Linked DNA regions of Diceros bicornis minor. The protein of the gene in region 2 interacts with the protein of the main gene of each other region in a pairwise test. Links are inferred from orthologs where the notes say so. Each region holds a gene or a part of one and is shown on either strand. Other genes may lie near its edges.

What was found.
Region 1: the proteins of FAM131C (region 2) and VSNL1 interact in binary tests that used the Homo sapiens proteins (3 or more experiments, as listed by UniProt). The two-hybrid records come from large-scale screens. The link is inferred for Diceros bicornis minor from reciprocal best matches to the Homo sapiens genes FAM131C and VSNL1.

What each region holds. Positions count from the first base shown.
Region 1 is NC_080751.1:63,878,108-63,886,217, forward strand, and holds the start of VSNL1 (visinin-like protein 1), read right to left. Parts: upstream 3,434-8,110; 5' UTR 3,239-3,433; intron 1-3,238.
Region 2 is NC_080752.1:34,029,195-34,037,614, forward strand, and holds the start of FAM131C (protein FAM131C), read right to left. Parts: upstream 3,578-8,420; 5' UTR 3,331-3,577; coding exon 3,309-3,330; intron 1-3,308.

The DNA.
Region 1 (8,110 bases), on a different chromosome or scaffold from region 2:
CTCACCTCAATTCAGTAAAGGTTTACCACGAGGGGAGGGGTTAAATTAAATCGTTAATTGGTGAATGTGTTCAGAAACTCACCAGTTTGCTCCCTCAGCTTCCTCAACAACTTCCAAGGATATTTAGCTAATCTTTCAAACGAGCAAGAGACCCAGATTCTGTCTTCCTCAGGCATCCCCTAGTACCCCAGCTTTTTCAGGTAAGAATTCCTGGCATTTTCCCAGAGGGGACATTTGAGGCGGTCTTGGTTATCTTTCTGAGTGCCTGGGAGATTACATTTTTGGTGAAGGAACAGGAGGGCCTGGATTATCTTAAAAAGGGCTAGAGCTTTATCGTATAAGCACTTGGGAAATTTTTAGGGAAGGGAGAAAATGAGGGAGAAATAGGGAAAGCAAGTGAGTGGAAAGGAGAAAAAAAGGAGGAAAGAGAAGAAGGGCAATTAGGCAGGTATTATTGCCTGCTTTGCAGTCTCTGTCCAGCAAGAAGAGCTGTGCACATGCTTTAAAATCTCTCAAGGTTTTAAAAAGCTGCACTGCTCTCCTCTATAGCGCCTGCTTCAGATTGAACCAGAGGAGCATTCTTCTTCAGTCTCCCCTCCTCCCCCCTTCCCCTGCAGGTGGCTTCATCTGGAGGATTTCCATGAAGGCTGCAGACAGTTAAGCATCTTGGATTTGGGTTCTGCCTTCTAGGAGCCAGAGGAGAGCTGGCAGAGCCCACTGTGTGTTTACACTGCAGCTTCCTCACTCTGCTGGGTCCCAATCCCTCCAGCTGCAGCAGTTTTGAAGGAGGCAACACAGGGAAAAGAGTGAGGATGGAGCCTGCAGTGTCTCTGAAGGCTGGATTCCCTGAAGGATTCTGGGAAATAGAGCAGAGAGCGGATAGGGATGAGCCTGGGCAGTCCTCAAAGAGGAGCTGACGATTCCAACTGGTTTCCCTGTTTTCTCAAAAAAACTCCAAGGATCCCAAAGAAATTGACTGAGATGCAGGGGAGGCCAGGAAGGCCAGACTAAACATCTAATGAGGTGGGTATATTAGAGGTGAGGGGCAATGGCAAGGAGAAAGAAAGAAACCTTACAAAACAGGAGAGGCGGGGAAGTGTAACGATGTGAAAAGGAACCCTTGGGACACTTAGAAAGGTGTGCTGGGGAGCAGGCAATTATTTATTTGAAGATTTCAACAATGTCACTGAGGGTGCTAAATGTGCAGAGAGAAGGGAACATTTCCACTCGACATTACTTTTTAATTGCTTATTCCATAGACTAGAAGTTAATTGACTTTTCCCTAGCTCCATGGCTCTGGGCCTCAGTTTCCTCATTTGTAAAACAAGCGGTTTGGATTAGATGCTTTTGAAGGTGTCTGCCGGAAGTGACCCTCTGTAACTGTCAGCCTATGAATCAGGGTATCCCAGAGCAAACTTCTCTGATATGAGCTTTAATACCAGCTTCCCGCTTCTTCCTCCCATGTATCACCCATGTATCAATGCAGGGCAACACCTGCACCATTCAGGGAGCTGACTCCAACTCTCAGTGATGACAAGGAGTATGGCTCAATTACGACAAATGATTGGTCTTTCCGCCCTGGAGTAAGGAAGGGAGGAACAGAGAGGGCAGTGTGATTTACACTTTGAGTTTCCAAGGAGAGGCTAGTCTCGAATTTTCTATTTGAAATTCCATCTATTTAAATAAATTATAAATTCTTTTGAAAGATTCCAAATAGTGGGACTGACTGAAGGGCCAAAGAGTCCTATAATAATCTGCCCTATTTGGGGAAAGTTTATTTCAATTCATCCCAGAAATTGGAGCTGCTTTTTCCATGGAAATCCAGCACACACTGGCCATGCTCTTCTCTTGTCTGTCTGCCTCATGCCATTCTGCCAACCTGCTTCAGTGCAGCATTTTCTGGAGTTATTAAATATCCAAGCTGAATGAGAGTGCACTTATGGGTGAGGTGTTCAGTGATGCAGGACCTCCCCCCACAAACACACACACATGTAGGCAGTTTAAATGGTAGTGGAGATAAAACGTGTTTTCACAAGGGTTTCATTTGTAATTTGTGTCAACCTGAAATTCCTTTAAATTAAAAAAATTAATATGTAGACATACAACTCCCTTGCTCCTCTTGTCTTCAAGTGAGATGTGACACACAGATAGTATACACTTGTATTTTCTACACCCACTAGCATTTCCATTTCATTTTAGTCTCCAGAATATGAACAGGAGGGCAACTCTAGAAAAATGGATTCCCACTCTTGCATCTCCCAGGGTGCTGATCCATGCAGTGCTGAGCACTCACATGGATCATCACCATTTCCCCCCAACCCCAATTCACCAGCACCCCTGAGGGGGTTTGACCTTGCAAAGTCCCTTCTTCTATTTCTCGGCAAGGAACAACCCATTTTAACTCAAAACACAAAAGGACCTTTTCTCCTTTAAAGAAACATTACCAAATGTAACACATCTGGGTTTACATTTCTCAACCCTGCATTCCGGAATGAGAATACCGGATGCAAAAGCAGGGAACTAGTTCGGGTCTGACAGTCTTCATTCAGCGACTCTGAGTCTCAGACTCCGTTCAAAATAGACGGCTGACTGTGAGGTTAAACATCTTTCCTTTTTTCTGCCCATTCACCATCGTGACGAAAAAACAAAACCGAAAAATTATCTACTCATTTTTAAATACTAAGAGAGAAACGTGCTTATTTTGCACCTCGCTCTGTGGTTCCGAACACTAACATCCCACTTTGAAATCAACCCTGATTTCCACACCACCTCGTCCATTCAGTTTTACTTAGCAAACACCTTCACGGCTCTTCCACAGTGAGAAAAATGGTGCCCCAACCCCACGGATGACGGGTTGGTACTTGACTGGAACCGCTCAATAGTTTTATCAGCAACCGGAAAACTTCACAATCGGTCAGTTAGCTACTTAAATCTTGTAAGGAAATCTGCCTATTTATAGACAAACTAAAAAAGCACCTCTGTTTCACGTATCTTAAATCTTGCCTAAGACAATCTCCCACACACGCCGCATATAAACACTCCCCCTTCCCCCACCCCATTATTCCAAGAGGTCCCCTGCGGACTAACAGCACATTCAGATCACCAGCATTAACCAAAACAATTGTCACCATGCATTTAGACGCATCTATGCAAAGTATGTGACAATAGCCAAAGCATCTCCCCGACAATTGGCTGTACTACATGCAGAAATGCAACGAAGATTGTATTTTCCACTTACAGTTATAGCGCTGCGCACGGTCACTTAACGAAAATGATAAAACTCAACAGTTCTTTATATATATATTTAATTCGGGTAAACGGTTAAGCCGTCTCTGTGTGTGGTTCTCTCGCGCTCTTTTTTTCTCTGGGGCTCTAGGCTGCTTAAATTCCTCTTGGATCGCGCCTTGCAAGCCCAGCCGCCGCCGCAACACGCTTCGGTAAGTCTCTGCTGCGGATTGGGAACCCCATACAAAACCTAGGGACCCTGGAGCTGGATGCGCAGGCGCGCGAGCCGCCGCCTCTCCAGGCACCCCCCTCCCCTGTCGCCTCCTCCCTCCGCCTCCAGCTCCGCAGCCCCAGCTTGGAGAGCTCTGGAGCCAGTGACCAAAAGGAGCCTGGCATTGGCGCATGCTCAGTTGGAGGGGCTCGGAGTTCCCGCGGGTGGATTCCACGTCTCCAGATTTTAGCAGAAACTCAAAAGAAAAGTAGATAGGAAAAGGGAGCCTGGCTACCAGAGCAGACTGCACCTGGACAGGCGCAAGGAAGGGAGAGCTAGGCTCACCAAGCTCCGTGGTTACCTAGTCTGGTGATGAAGGCTGAGGCCAGAGATGGGACACGTGGAGCCTGCTTTTCCCGCCGCCGTCAGCCCTAGAGGGGTCCCGGCCCATCCTTTGTCAGGCTGTAAAGTGAAGGAGAAAAATGCAGAAATCCCTTCTTGGAAGGAAGCGTTCCCAGCAAGCTGTGAGCGTACTACCCTGCTCACTGTGAGGGAACACTGATGGTGGGCATTTTGCCTTGGGCCGCCGTTTCATCAGAGGGCCTGATGCTAGGACCTGAGAGCCAGGCTCCCTGGTACCCCAGTGCCCGGGATAGTCTTGGTTCAGAGTGGCGTTGGAGAAATATGTGTTGAAGGGAACTGAGTCCTAAGCTTCTTGCCCTGTGTGACCTTGGGCAGATCATGCTAACCATCAACAAACGTTTAATAAGCACATTTTGTATACACTTAATCAATGTTTATTGAATATGCTTTTGGGGGGCGGGGGTGGAGAGGAGAGAATGAACCAACCTTAGAATCTAGGCAGTTGCAGCACCAAGCCCCCTTTTGCGTCCTTGAAGGACTCATACGTTTGCCACCTCCCCCACTCCCCACTGGCCTGCCAACGCCTAGAAGACTTGGCAAGGAGTAGTGCCCAGTGAATGTTGGACGTTTCCCTACCAGGAAAACAAAGGAAATTTCCCGAATGTTCCCTACCTGATCAGTTTCCTCAAGTGTGTATGTTTGTACATTCATTATTCATTGACCACCTGCCTACTGACTAGTAGGCACTGTTTTATGCCTTGGGGATAATGCAATGAACAAAACCCCTTCCGAGGTTTACATTCAGGTGGGAATTGAATTATTTTCAAGGAAGGGAAGTTCTGGAGGCACAGTGAAGATTGTCTTTCTCCTTAAGCAGAGAGCTTTACAATTTGCAAAGCGCTTTCACACACCTTATTACATTCAGGAAAACTTCAGTTAACACCTTTCTGTTCTGAGGACACCAAGAGCATCTCCCGTGGCAAAAGCGCTCTAGATTGACAAATGTCCGTTCCCAGGAGGGAGCTGCTCCCGGCTGCAAGTGGGGGAATCCAGCATGGAAGAATGTGAGGTAAGACCAAGAGAAACTCTGCTCGATGAGTCTCCAGCGACTGAAGGCTCGTGCTAGGTGAGGGCCTTGGGCGGTGACGCCTAAGCCGCGGCCTTACGCTCAGTGTCAAACCTGCCGGCCCAGAGCCCAGGAATGCGCTTTTCTGGGCCAGACGCCTCCCAAAGGTTGCATAGAGGCGGAGAACGCTCTCGGGACTCCCGGGACAGTGCTCACCGAAGTGCCCTCCCGGTGTGCTTCTTCACCCGGTGCTGGTGACCGCGGAAACCCGGAGCGCGGAGCCGCACGGAGCAGGGCGCGCGGCCCGGGTGCGCTGTGGCAGCGGGAGCAGGTTTCGAGTCTGGCGGGAGTCAGCCCTGCGCTCCGGGCTGCAGTGCGCACTGCGCAGCGGGGCTCGCCAGATGGATTCTTTCTGTTTCTCGGGATGGGGTGGGGGCAAAAGTCAGTTCTGCATAAGTCGCTTTTGTTGGCCATGGAGACAACCTCCAAAGCTTTCAAAGTAATTTCCCCTCTTTTGTCGATTTCCCCTGCTAAAGCATTTTACGCTGGGCTCTCTGGTTTCTCTCTCGAGAACAGTCTCCGCACTGCAATCTGCATCGACCGAAGGGGTCGTGGTGCCATTTCTCCGCTTCGAAAAGATGTACATATTTCTCGCGCCCTGGAGGTCTCTTTCGTGTCAATAGTCGGTTTTAGATAACTTACTTTCAGCTTGTGTTTAGGAAAAAAGGAACACTGATACTTTAAACCATGTTTTGTTGTAGGGGAGATTTGATTTAAGTGTGTGCGCTTTTGTAAAGCAGCTTTGTCTAATTGGACAGTCAGGTTTTTTGTTTTTGTTTTTGTTTTGTTTTGTTTTGTTTTTTTGGTTGTATTTGCACTGAAGCGTTATTTGGCGTCCCTAATGCAATATCTTAATTTTTAATCTCCAGCTATTATGTAGCTTTATCTTTTTAAGCTCTAATATTTTGTTGTTAAAAAAGTTATTTTTGAGTTACCCTTTAGTCTAGTTTTATGTGCAGCACGAAGTCAAAGCAGGGAAGCCAATTCTAAAAGACACCGAAGGAATGTTATCGTTTAAATTATAAAAAGCAGTTTCCCTCTTTAGGATAGCAGAATGAAGTAGAATGTAGTAGGGACAATTTAAAAAATAGGGAGCCCTCGGTTTCTTTCCTCCTTCAGTCATTTGCAGGTCTCACTGGTGAGCACAGAAGAGCAGAGACGCGCGGCGCTGCACTGCTATGCGCCCTGGGGTAGAGGGACCGGAACCCTGCTCCGTGTTGAGTGAAGAATGCCATCAGCTGTGGCAGTTGTCCCATTACTTAAAACCACGTCCCCAATACTGCGCACTGACCGCGGTGTCAGCTTTCACACCTGGAGATTTTGGGGCGTGGAGGGGGGGGCGGTAAGTCTGGACGTGGGGAAGGGAAGGGAGGAGGGTGCTATAGGGAGGGGGTTGTTTTTTCTGCAGTACCTGGTAGGGTCCTCAGTTGCCCAGAAGCAACTGAGGAGCCATTTTCCTTTCCTCAGTGGCAAATTATATTCTTTCCTTACTTCCACCTCACTCCTTCCCAGATTCAAACAAACCAACAAAATAAAACCAAGAATGGCTTTTAGGTGTACACAATTTCATTTAATATCTCCATCCACTTTAATTGTGGCATGGACAAGTTGACAACCGAGAATGACAGTAAAATGCAAAGTGCCAGTACTATAACAGGTCTAAGCTTGTGGTCCTGTGAGCTTATGGTAATATTATTTATTAGACATGCTGTGTATAAATTATATGAGCCAAGAAGGGTGGAACTTAAGGCATGGGGGCATTTAGGAAATTGGAAGAAAAATTAAGTGTTTGAAAGTCAACATTATAAAATGAAAAGAGACAGGAATTGGAAAAACGGATTTATACTCATTTAAATTCATAAAGAATAATGATAGTAATTTTCTTGTATGGGTAAAGTGCTTTTATTTCAAAAAGCTAAGTATTAATCCTTACAGAGGAGACGCATTATGTAAGATAATTATGTTTATCCTGATTTTTTTATCCTATTTTAAAAAACATGTAGATAGACAAACAAAATAACTTCCCTAAAGTCAAACAGAAAGTTATCACCTTGAATAAAACCATGCAGCAGTTTTTCTGATGAATAAAGTATTTTGTTGTGTATGTTTATACTCCTTCTACATATTTTTCTAAAATAAGTGGAAAAATGCAGGACCATGAAGGAGTGATTCCCGGGCACTTACAGGGAGAGCTCCCTGGCTCTCCAAACAGAGGAGGGATTAAAAGTCTGAGTTTTAATGGACTCAGTTAATCATTTCTCCTAGTCCACTACTGATTTATCTCTGTAATCCATGACTGGATCTAAATTCAGTTTGAAAGATCACTTTTAGCTGAGTTACCAATTTCCCTTACAATTTGAACAATCTACAGTAAAAGTTTCTTAAGTCCCTGCTGAGTGAATTATTGTCAAAATTTTGAATTTCCTGGAAGTCTTGGAGTCTCAGAAATGTTCATAGCAAATGCGGGTGGTCTGCAGCCTCAAGAACAGGAAATGCTTTATTCCCTTCTCTCTTCTACATTTGGGCCTAACCTATAGATTCATAACAGTGCTCTTAAGTTGGAAATTTTCACCACTATTGTTAGTGACAACACAGAAGAAATGATGATAGCAGAATTGGACTATATATGACCCCTATTTCTTTTCTTCAATGACTTTTTAAGGAGTCCCTTATGCTAGGCTTTACTCTGGTTTAGTTGTGTGAATAGCTACTATAAATATAATCATGGACTCATGTTCTGGAACTTCTGTGCTACTCTGGAGATCATCTGATCCTGAAGGGTCTTCTAAAGCCCTTCTTGCCTAAAGTAGATTTTACTGACTTGTTTCTCCCTTCAACCTCTATTTTCCTTAATATAGTTCCCTTGAATTTTTAATGAAACTCTCAAACTTAGAGAATCTTAGCATAAAATTTAAGGGAAAATAAAAACAATGAATTCTATACCCCCTCTGAGACAACCAACACAAAACCCGCATCCTTTGCCAAAAGATTTTCACAACTGAGTTTATATTTTCACCTACAGCCAGAAGGAGGAAAGAAAGAGTGGGATCCCTCATTTTTTAGTGTTCTTATCATATTCTTCCTTTAAAGTTCATTTTACCATCTGAGGAGGTTCAAGAAGAGAAAGAGTGACCATTGATGATCTTTGATTTTTTTCAGCCTGTAGGTTTAGTACCTGTACCACA
Region 2 (8,420 bases):
AAACCATATGCCAACCACTTGAGTTAGTCCAGAGGCTCACTGGTTTTAAGCATTGGCCACGCGCTCAGTATCTCTCTCCGTTTGGAGGACACGAGAGAGCAAAGGGCTCTGGGGTCACACAGACCCGATTTCACTCCCACCTCTCTACATCCTGGCTGTGTGACCTCAGGTAAGACTCTTCCCGTCTCTGAGCCCCACGTCCCTGCTCCCAGGGTTGACTGAGGACTAACTAGGTCAGGAGAGTAAAGGCTCTGGCGGGCTCAGGCTAAGTGCCCAACCAACAGCAGCTTAAAAATAGATAATGAACACAAAACAGCTCCTGGAAACAGCGCTTGTTGCCTTAATCTGGGCCCCACCACCTTCCCCATGTCCTCAGCATCTCGAGTGCCTGCCGTCCGTTCTTTCTCCACGAGGCAGGATGGCGCTTGAAGCCTCTGTAGCTTCCCCTTTCCCAGCCAAGAGGGTCTCAACTAGCTGTCTGCACAGGAGGTAAGGATAAAAATTAAAAATGAAAGTCATAGCTGACACTTATGAGTGCTTACTACATGCTAGGTACTGATCAGAGGGCTTTACATGGATTAGGTCATTTAATCCCCTCCCAGCAACCCTAGGACATCAATACTGGCATTACTCCCATTTTAGAGATTAGAACACTGAGATACATACACAAAGTTACATTACTTCCTGAGGTCTCAGAGGCAGAGAATGGTGGAGCAGGGATGCGAACCTGGGCTGGCCGGCTCCAGGCTGCACTCCTGATCTCTCTGGCCTGGCACGGAGAAGCAACTGCTGCCCGATGCTGGCATGGGCTGGCTCTCCCAGGTGTGGCCTGGACCTGGGGTTTGAGGTTTGGCTGGGGTGACCTCAGCTGCATGCAGGCTCCGGGCTCCATATAGGCATCAGCATGAGGCTCCAACCCCTGGCCTGGCTGCAGGCTGCGTCCCTGGCCCAAGGACACGCGTGGACTAAGGGGGCTGCTATTAGCAGTTGGTGCAGGTGTGGAGGCCAGGTGTGGGGCTCAGAAGCTCACGGAAGCCTGCAGCTGGGGAGGAGCAGGACAGGAGCTGGCACCCGGGCTGAGGGCGGGCTGTGCCGGGCAGAGGCCGAGGGCCCAGGCTCTGGAGTCCGCGAGACTGGGTTCCAGTCCCGCCTCTGCTATTTCTTAGCCATGTGGCCCCGCCAAGTCACTCAACTCCCCTCTGCTCAGTTTCCCCATTTGTACAATGGGGACTGTGATAGTATGTACCCCAAATTAACTAGTTGTGCCCAAAAGGTTCCAACCAGTACCTGGTAAGCCATAAGTACGCTGAGACTATTAGTGACAGAGGGGTGGACGGCCTCCACTCGGGGGTTCACGGGACGACGGTGTCCTCTGCTCAAGCAGCCCTATACCTTCATCTTTATCTCATTTCTCTGCATGCACATTAAGCTCTAAGTGGCCCTACCCTCTCAGGAGGGAGACAAGGTTAGAATATACAACCAGATCTGGAGGTGGCACTCGGGAGCCCAAGCCACAGAAGGAAGGGTGGAGAACGCCCGTCTTGGGTGGTGTGACCTCAAACAGGCATGGCAGAGGGTGCCAGCACTGGGTGGGGGTTCAGAGGACCTGGGCCCCACCCCAGTCCTGACACCACCTCGCAGTGTGACCTTGGTGGGCTTCTCTTCCTCCCTGGCCTCTGCACTGTGCTCAGCGGGTCTGCAGCTCACAGGCAAGTTCATGAGGGGCTGGGCCCCCAGTTCCTGGCATGGGATGACTAAGTGATGGGGAAGGGACACAGTCACCAAGGAAACACCAGATCCCAGATCCCCAACACCCGGAGCCTGCCCAGAGCCTTCGGGGTTTCTGGAGACACACTGAGAGCCTGTCTGTCCTAAAGAACTCTAAACACTTCACTCTTGAAACTCCCTTCCCCTCTGGCTGGGCTGCAGGCCTCACGAGAGCAGGCGCTGTGCTGGGCTCATCGCCGCTGGAAGCCCAGAGCCTACACCGTGCCTGGCACACAGTAGGTGTCATGCTAATATCAGCTTATGAATGAGTAAGTGAATGAACCTCACACAGTCTAGCCTCCACCCACAATCCCAGCCCTGACACCCTCCTAAGACATGTTGAGCCACGTACCTGAATGTCCCACATGGACCGGTGAGCAGAGCCCCTTAGAGGCCAGAGGATGGGCAGGTGTGTGTGGGGGGGATGTTGTGCTCCTTCATCAACACCTCCCAGGGCAAGGCCCCCTCCAGGGCCTGCCCAGCTCCTCCCAAAGACCTGTTCATTCCTCTATACCTGAATAAGCTATTGGGGGAGACAGGTGGGGTAGCAGGCCCCAAGGCCCTGAGGTTGGGTCGGTGGGTTTAGCCTCAGCCCAATGTCCCAGTCACCTCCACCCCCAGCCCTGCCCCGCATCCCACTCTGGGGTGAAGAGACAGGTGGGAGAACAGCCCAGCCAACCTCTTCTAAAATGTTGCCCAGTGGCCTGTTGGATCCACCTGCCCATCCCCGAGGCTCTGTGTAAGACTCCCCCGCCACCCTCCAGGGCAGCTCACTCCAGCTCCCGGGCATCACCCTGGGGACAGGGGTGGGGCTTGGCACAGGACAAGAGCAGAGTGTGCCAGGTCAGGGCGGCTTTTAAATCACAGAGACAGAGAGAAAGGCCCAGGGCTTACTGGGAACATCAGCTGTCTCTCTCCCTTCCTACCCCCTGACCTCAGATGGCGATGGGGATGAGGAGTTGGGGATAAGGGTGGGGGAAGGGGAACTTTCTTTATAACCTGTTCACCTCCATTAAGCCCTTCCTGCCAATGGGGTTCAGGGACTCTGAAGACAGGGGCATGGGGTAAGAGGAGGGAATGAGCTGGTGGGGGGTGGGGGAGCGTTGAGCTAGTGAGGCCTGTGTCTTGAGGGGGTGTGAATCTGTGTTCTGGTGCCCCCGACGTCCCGCCAGAGACGCCAAGGGCAACCAGAAACCTCCTTCCCTTCCAAGGCACACGCACGGCAGGGGGTGTGTGGCTGTTGGGAAAGAAGGGACTCTGTTTCATGCCACCAGCTGGGGTGTGGTTCCAAGCGGGTCTGGGGATGCGGTGACCTCGCTGCGCTCTCTCTCCAAGCAGCACCCCGTCTCCCGCGCCCTGTGCCCCTCGGGGCACCGCGTCCCCTGGGGCTCGGCGGGCGTGGGGTGGGGTGCGGCTTAGTCCGGGAGGGGCGGGTCGCTCCCCTACCCCTCTAGTTTCCTCAGAGCGGTCGAGAGGACGTGCGCGCGTCCCGGGCGCGGGGACCCCGGCCACCGCCCCCCCCAGGCCGGCGGCCCCCTCACCTCGCGACACGCAGGAGCCCATCACGGGGCCGCGGGGCCGGGCCGCTGCGCCTCGGGTGCGTCGGGCCGCTGGGCGCTCATGTCTCCGCGGGCTGGGGCTCAGGTGCGCGCGGGCGCAGCGGGCGGAGGGGCGCGCGGAGGAGCGGGGAAGGGGCTGCGGCTCCGCTCGCTCGGCCGCCACCACCGCCGCGCCCGGCTCTTCGCGCCGCCGCCTCCCGCGCCGCGCTCGCTCCTGCTCCTGCTCCTGCTCCTGCTCTGCCAGCCGCGGGCGGCACGGCGGGCGGGGGCCCCCGGGGACCGCGCGCCCCGAGCCCCGAGTGCCCTGCCCCTGCCCCCTGCGTGGCCGCCAGCCCCGCGCACCTGTTGCGGCAGCCCGGGCGGGGGGTGCAAGGGAGTGGGGGGGACAGGGGGTGGGGTGGCGGGGAGGGCAGAAGGTGGGGAGGGCAATTTCCGGCCCTCAGGCCTCCCGCGCCACCTGGTGACAGGGGCTGAAGGTCAGGGAAGGGGGCGGTGGGGACGGGGAGATTCCGGCATTTAGGCACAAAGTACATAACGTTAACTCAACCACCACGACCGGACACCCGGCTGAGCGCAGTAACAATAGTTCCACTGCGCCCATTTTGCAGAGGCTCATGGAAGTCAGATGCCTGCCTGAGGTCCCTTAGCTGTGAGGGACAGCGACTTTGGACCGTCAGCTCCTCATTTGGGGGACGCTGGCCCGGGGTAGAGTACGGAGGGTGGAGATAGTGTACTAGTGGCCTCGCGCTGGACAGGAGTCTCCCGTAGCACCTGAAGGGGGTCGACGGCCTCTCTGGGCCTATCCAGGGCAAGGTAAACTGAGGCACGGGCCTTTCCTCAGCCCGGGTCTCCTGTCTAATGGAGCGACAGTGGCCGGCTCTAATCACTCACCCTCAGTCTCACACACACACGTACCTACAAACACTCTCACACGCGTACACACCCACACATGCCAACTTGCACACCCACACACTTGTACACACTCACACACACTAGCACACACCCACAGACTCATATGTATACACGCTCACATTTACACACCCTCCCCCACCAGCGCCTTAGCAAACCTTCCCTCCGGGGCCCTCACTTTCACCTGCTTGGTCTCACTCCATCCTTACACCTACCTGTGCCCCAGGTGGGCGCGTGTCACTGTGTCCCTTTCACAGGTGAGGAAGCCAGGTTCACTGGTCCCTTCAAACTCCTGGTGACGGCCGGGCAAGGTTTGGAAGGCTGGATGAGGTTTGAGGCAGGGGCGTGGGGTAGAGCTGGAGGCCTCCAGCAGGGCAGGATCTGGGCCTGGTGGGACTGCCGGGGGCGGGGTGGGGGACAGGGCTGGGGGTGGGTGCTGACCGCTTTCTCTTTCTCCAGGCCTGGTCACCTCTCTGGAGTCAAGTCTGGGTGGAGAGTGGCCCTGGCCACTGGTGTCAGCAGATCTGGTGTGAGTGTGGGCTCAGCTCACACAGGCTGTGTGACTCGGGGCAAGTTGATTCACCTCTCTGAGGCTCAGTTTTTTTATCTGTTAACCCAGGGTAAAAATCTCACCTCCTGGGGTTGCTGTAAGGATTAATGAGATAATATGTGCAAAATGACCAGCACATAGTACATACTTAACTTACGGCTAATGATAATTGATAGTGACGGTGAACACAGGTAGGAAGTATTATTACCTCCCCACAGCTTCCCTACACCCACAGGAAGCCTAAAGAACCGCCATTCAGTGGACGTGTATGAAGCACCTACTATGCGCCACTGCGAACAAGACAGACATGCTAGTCCTGGAGTCAGTGCTGTGTCTGGTCAGGGTGCTCAGACACCCCCATGCCCCGCCCATCTCAGACCTGTCCCCCCCGCCCCCCCCCCCCCGTCTGGCCTGTGGGGATAGCTCTGAAGGGACAGTCTGTGATCACCATGGATGCCCTGGTGCCTTGCACAGTGTCAGCTGTGTGCCTGCCCTTGTGTGGAAACAGGAAGACGAGTCTGCCTGTGGCCAGGCTCTGGGGGCCTGTCCTGTGTGGCCCGGGGTTGTGGCAGCAGAAGTGTCCTTCCTCTTTCCGTGGTGGAGTGACTGGCTCTGGCCTGGAGGGAGGGCTCTGACTCACCATGACGCAGGAAGCTTGGTCACAGCTGCTGCTGCTCCCAGCTGGCAGCCTGGCAGCTCTGGGGGCAGAGGGGATGGGGAGGGGGACCCCTGCAGAGAGGACAGGGCAGCTCACAGGGGAAAGGATGCCTGAGGAGTCTACTGTGTCCCCTTCAGCTTAAGACAGGGACAGGTGGACGAGGCTGGGCAGCGGCCCCACACGGGGTCCCTTGCTCACCAGCTCAGAGAGATGGCTGGGCGAGGTGGGGTGGTTCTGGCTGTCCCAGCCTCCAGCATTCATGCTGGTCAGTTCCACACTGAATCAATCCTCTCATTGTAGAGATTGGCTCTCAGAGAGGGGCAGGGGCTTGCCCAAGGTCACACAGCAAATTGATGGCAGAATGGGGACGAGAACCCAGGTCTCCTGCCTGTCAGCCCAGCCCTGGCACTAACCTGAGACTGGACCATGTGAGGGTGGGCAGCTCCCTGTTGCATGCCCACATTCACCTTCCCTGTCCTTGGAATTCTGCTGAAGCTGATGGTTCCCAGACTCCCAGACAGCTCTAAGATATGTGGCTGTCCTTCCCCAGGGGCAGGCTGTCCTTTCTCAGCTCAGCCCACAGCCCATCTGCCCTGTGACCTCCCATTCCCCTCCCCCAGCACCCTCCTCCCCATCCATCCACTGGGGGGAGGAGAGAGGAGGCTGCTGCTGGGTGAGGGGACCAGGGGAGAGAGTGCCCTTCACACCCCGAACCTCATTCGCCTGTCATGGTTTTGGGGATCCGGGCAGAGTCCCCACTCCTGTGGCTGCCCTACTTGTTCTGTTCAACAACGGACGTTTACTGGCCCCGGGTGCCCAGCCCTGGGCTGGGCCCTGGAGCATGGAGAGCAGATGATGCAGGGTTTGGTCAGGGAAAGATTGATCAACGGGAGCCGTTCAGTGATGAGTCAGACCCAGTCCCTGCCCAGGCGGTCCTGGGAGGGGGACGGCACTGCACGAGGGCAGCCGTGTGCATCAATAGCTCGGGTCAGAGTGGACACTGGTGCACCCCCACGCCAGCCAAGTGTGAGGGGAGAGTTGCTTCTGCCAAGGGTTGTGGGGATGGCTTCAAGGCGACGGTGACCCTGCGATGGTTTTTTTTTTTTGTGTGAGGAAGATCAGCCCCGAGCTAACATCCTCCGTGCTAATCCTCCTCTTTTTGCTGAGGAAGACCGGCTCTGAGCTAACATCTATTGCCAATCCTCCTCCTTTTTTTCCCCAAAGCCCCAGTAGATAGTTGTATGTCATAGTTTCACATCCTTCTAGTTGCTGTATGTGGGACGCGGCCTCAGCATGGCGGGAGAAGCGGTGCGTCGGTGCGCGCCCGGGATCCGAACCCTGGGCCGCCAGTAACGGAGCGCACGCACTTAACCACGGGGCCGGCCTGCGATGGGGTTTTGAAGGTTGAATAGGACGTTGGCAGGCAGAGATGCTGGAGGGCTCTGTGTGCACCAGGGTATGGAGGGAGGGATGCTTGAGGTACTGGGGGACTGGCATATATGATGTCTGGGGGACCAGAGGGAGAGGATGAGACTTCAGACTGGGGTTTCCCACCTCGTGCCTCAAACATCTCCTCAGTATTGGTTTTCTCAGGAAAGGCAGAGCTGGATAAGCAGTAAGGGAACAGAATTGGAAGCCAGCCAGATCTGGGTTTGACTCCTGTGCCCAGAACAATTTGTAGTAGATGCTCAATAAGTGTTTGTTGACTGAATGCAAGAAAATGAGACTTGTCCAGGGTCACACATCTAGAAAGCGGTTATAGGCAGGACTGACTGATTCAACCTTTCATTCATCCAGCAAATGCTTATTGAGCATCACTATATGCCCAGCACTATGTGGTGCTGAGATTACAGCGTGAATGAGAGAGATGAGGCCCCTGTTCACTGGAGGAGGGAGAATAGTCCTCATGGGGGAGGTGGGCATTCATCCAGTAACGACCCAGGTGAATTGAGAGTCACAGCCCTGGGATTGCTGAGAAAGATCTATTGAGAGCATAGAAGAGAAGGACTCAATGTGGTGTCGAGCGTGGAGGGAGCGTCCAGGAGAAGCGACAGTGAATGAGTCCACAGCTCAAGTACGAGTGGGACGTGGCTTAGCAGAGATAACGTTGCATGGGCCACCTTAGAGGTGGAGGAAGGGACCAACTCCCAGGAGGAAGAGAGGGCCATGGTGGCTGGAGCACGGGGGATGAGAGGGAGGCGGTGGCAGGAGCGAGCACCTATATGGGATCTGGCCTTTATCCAAAGAGCAGGGGGAAGCCCCATCCTCTGTTTTCTTCTCTGCCAACCAGCTTCTTTCCAGTCACTCTCGGGTGGGGTCGAGGCCTGAATGAAGCTCCTCGTACAGTTCCTTGTTTCTCTGGAGGCCCAGCGCTGTCTGCGAAGCCTGGGAAAGAAGGCCACAGGCTGACCACAGAATGTGCCCACTCTCAGCTCCAGGCTCGGGATGGGGGCTTCTAGCTGGAGTGAGGTGTCGGGTCGGAGTCCCCTCCGCCTCTCCCCAGGCAATGAGCTAGACTAGGTGGGACAGGGAGAGAGAGAAGGGTAAGCCATAGTCTGATGGGGGAGACACAGCCTCTGTGCTGGGCACTGGGGACACTGGGATGAGACCAGCCCCTGCCCTGGAAGCTTCCGGCCCGGATAGTAAACAGGTGCCCCAAGTTCGTCTCTAAAATGCCTGGCCCAGGCCTGGTCCACGGGGGCTGCTTCACGACAAGATCCCTTTCTCAGGGTTGAGGCTGGGACCCTGACTCCTGAGTCTCAGGATCTCTGCAGGTAGGAGGCCCTCTCCCCTCAGATGCTTTTCCTGAGCTGTCAATGTTATGCAGAAGGTGGCCACCAGGGGGCAGCACGAGACAGCACAATTCTTGACTGCTTTCATTTTCCTTCCTCTGTTTGGCGACTGACCCAGAAAGTACCACGCTGGCAACTCAGACTCAGCCACAATTCAAGGTTGTGCCTCATGCGCCCTGCACAAA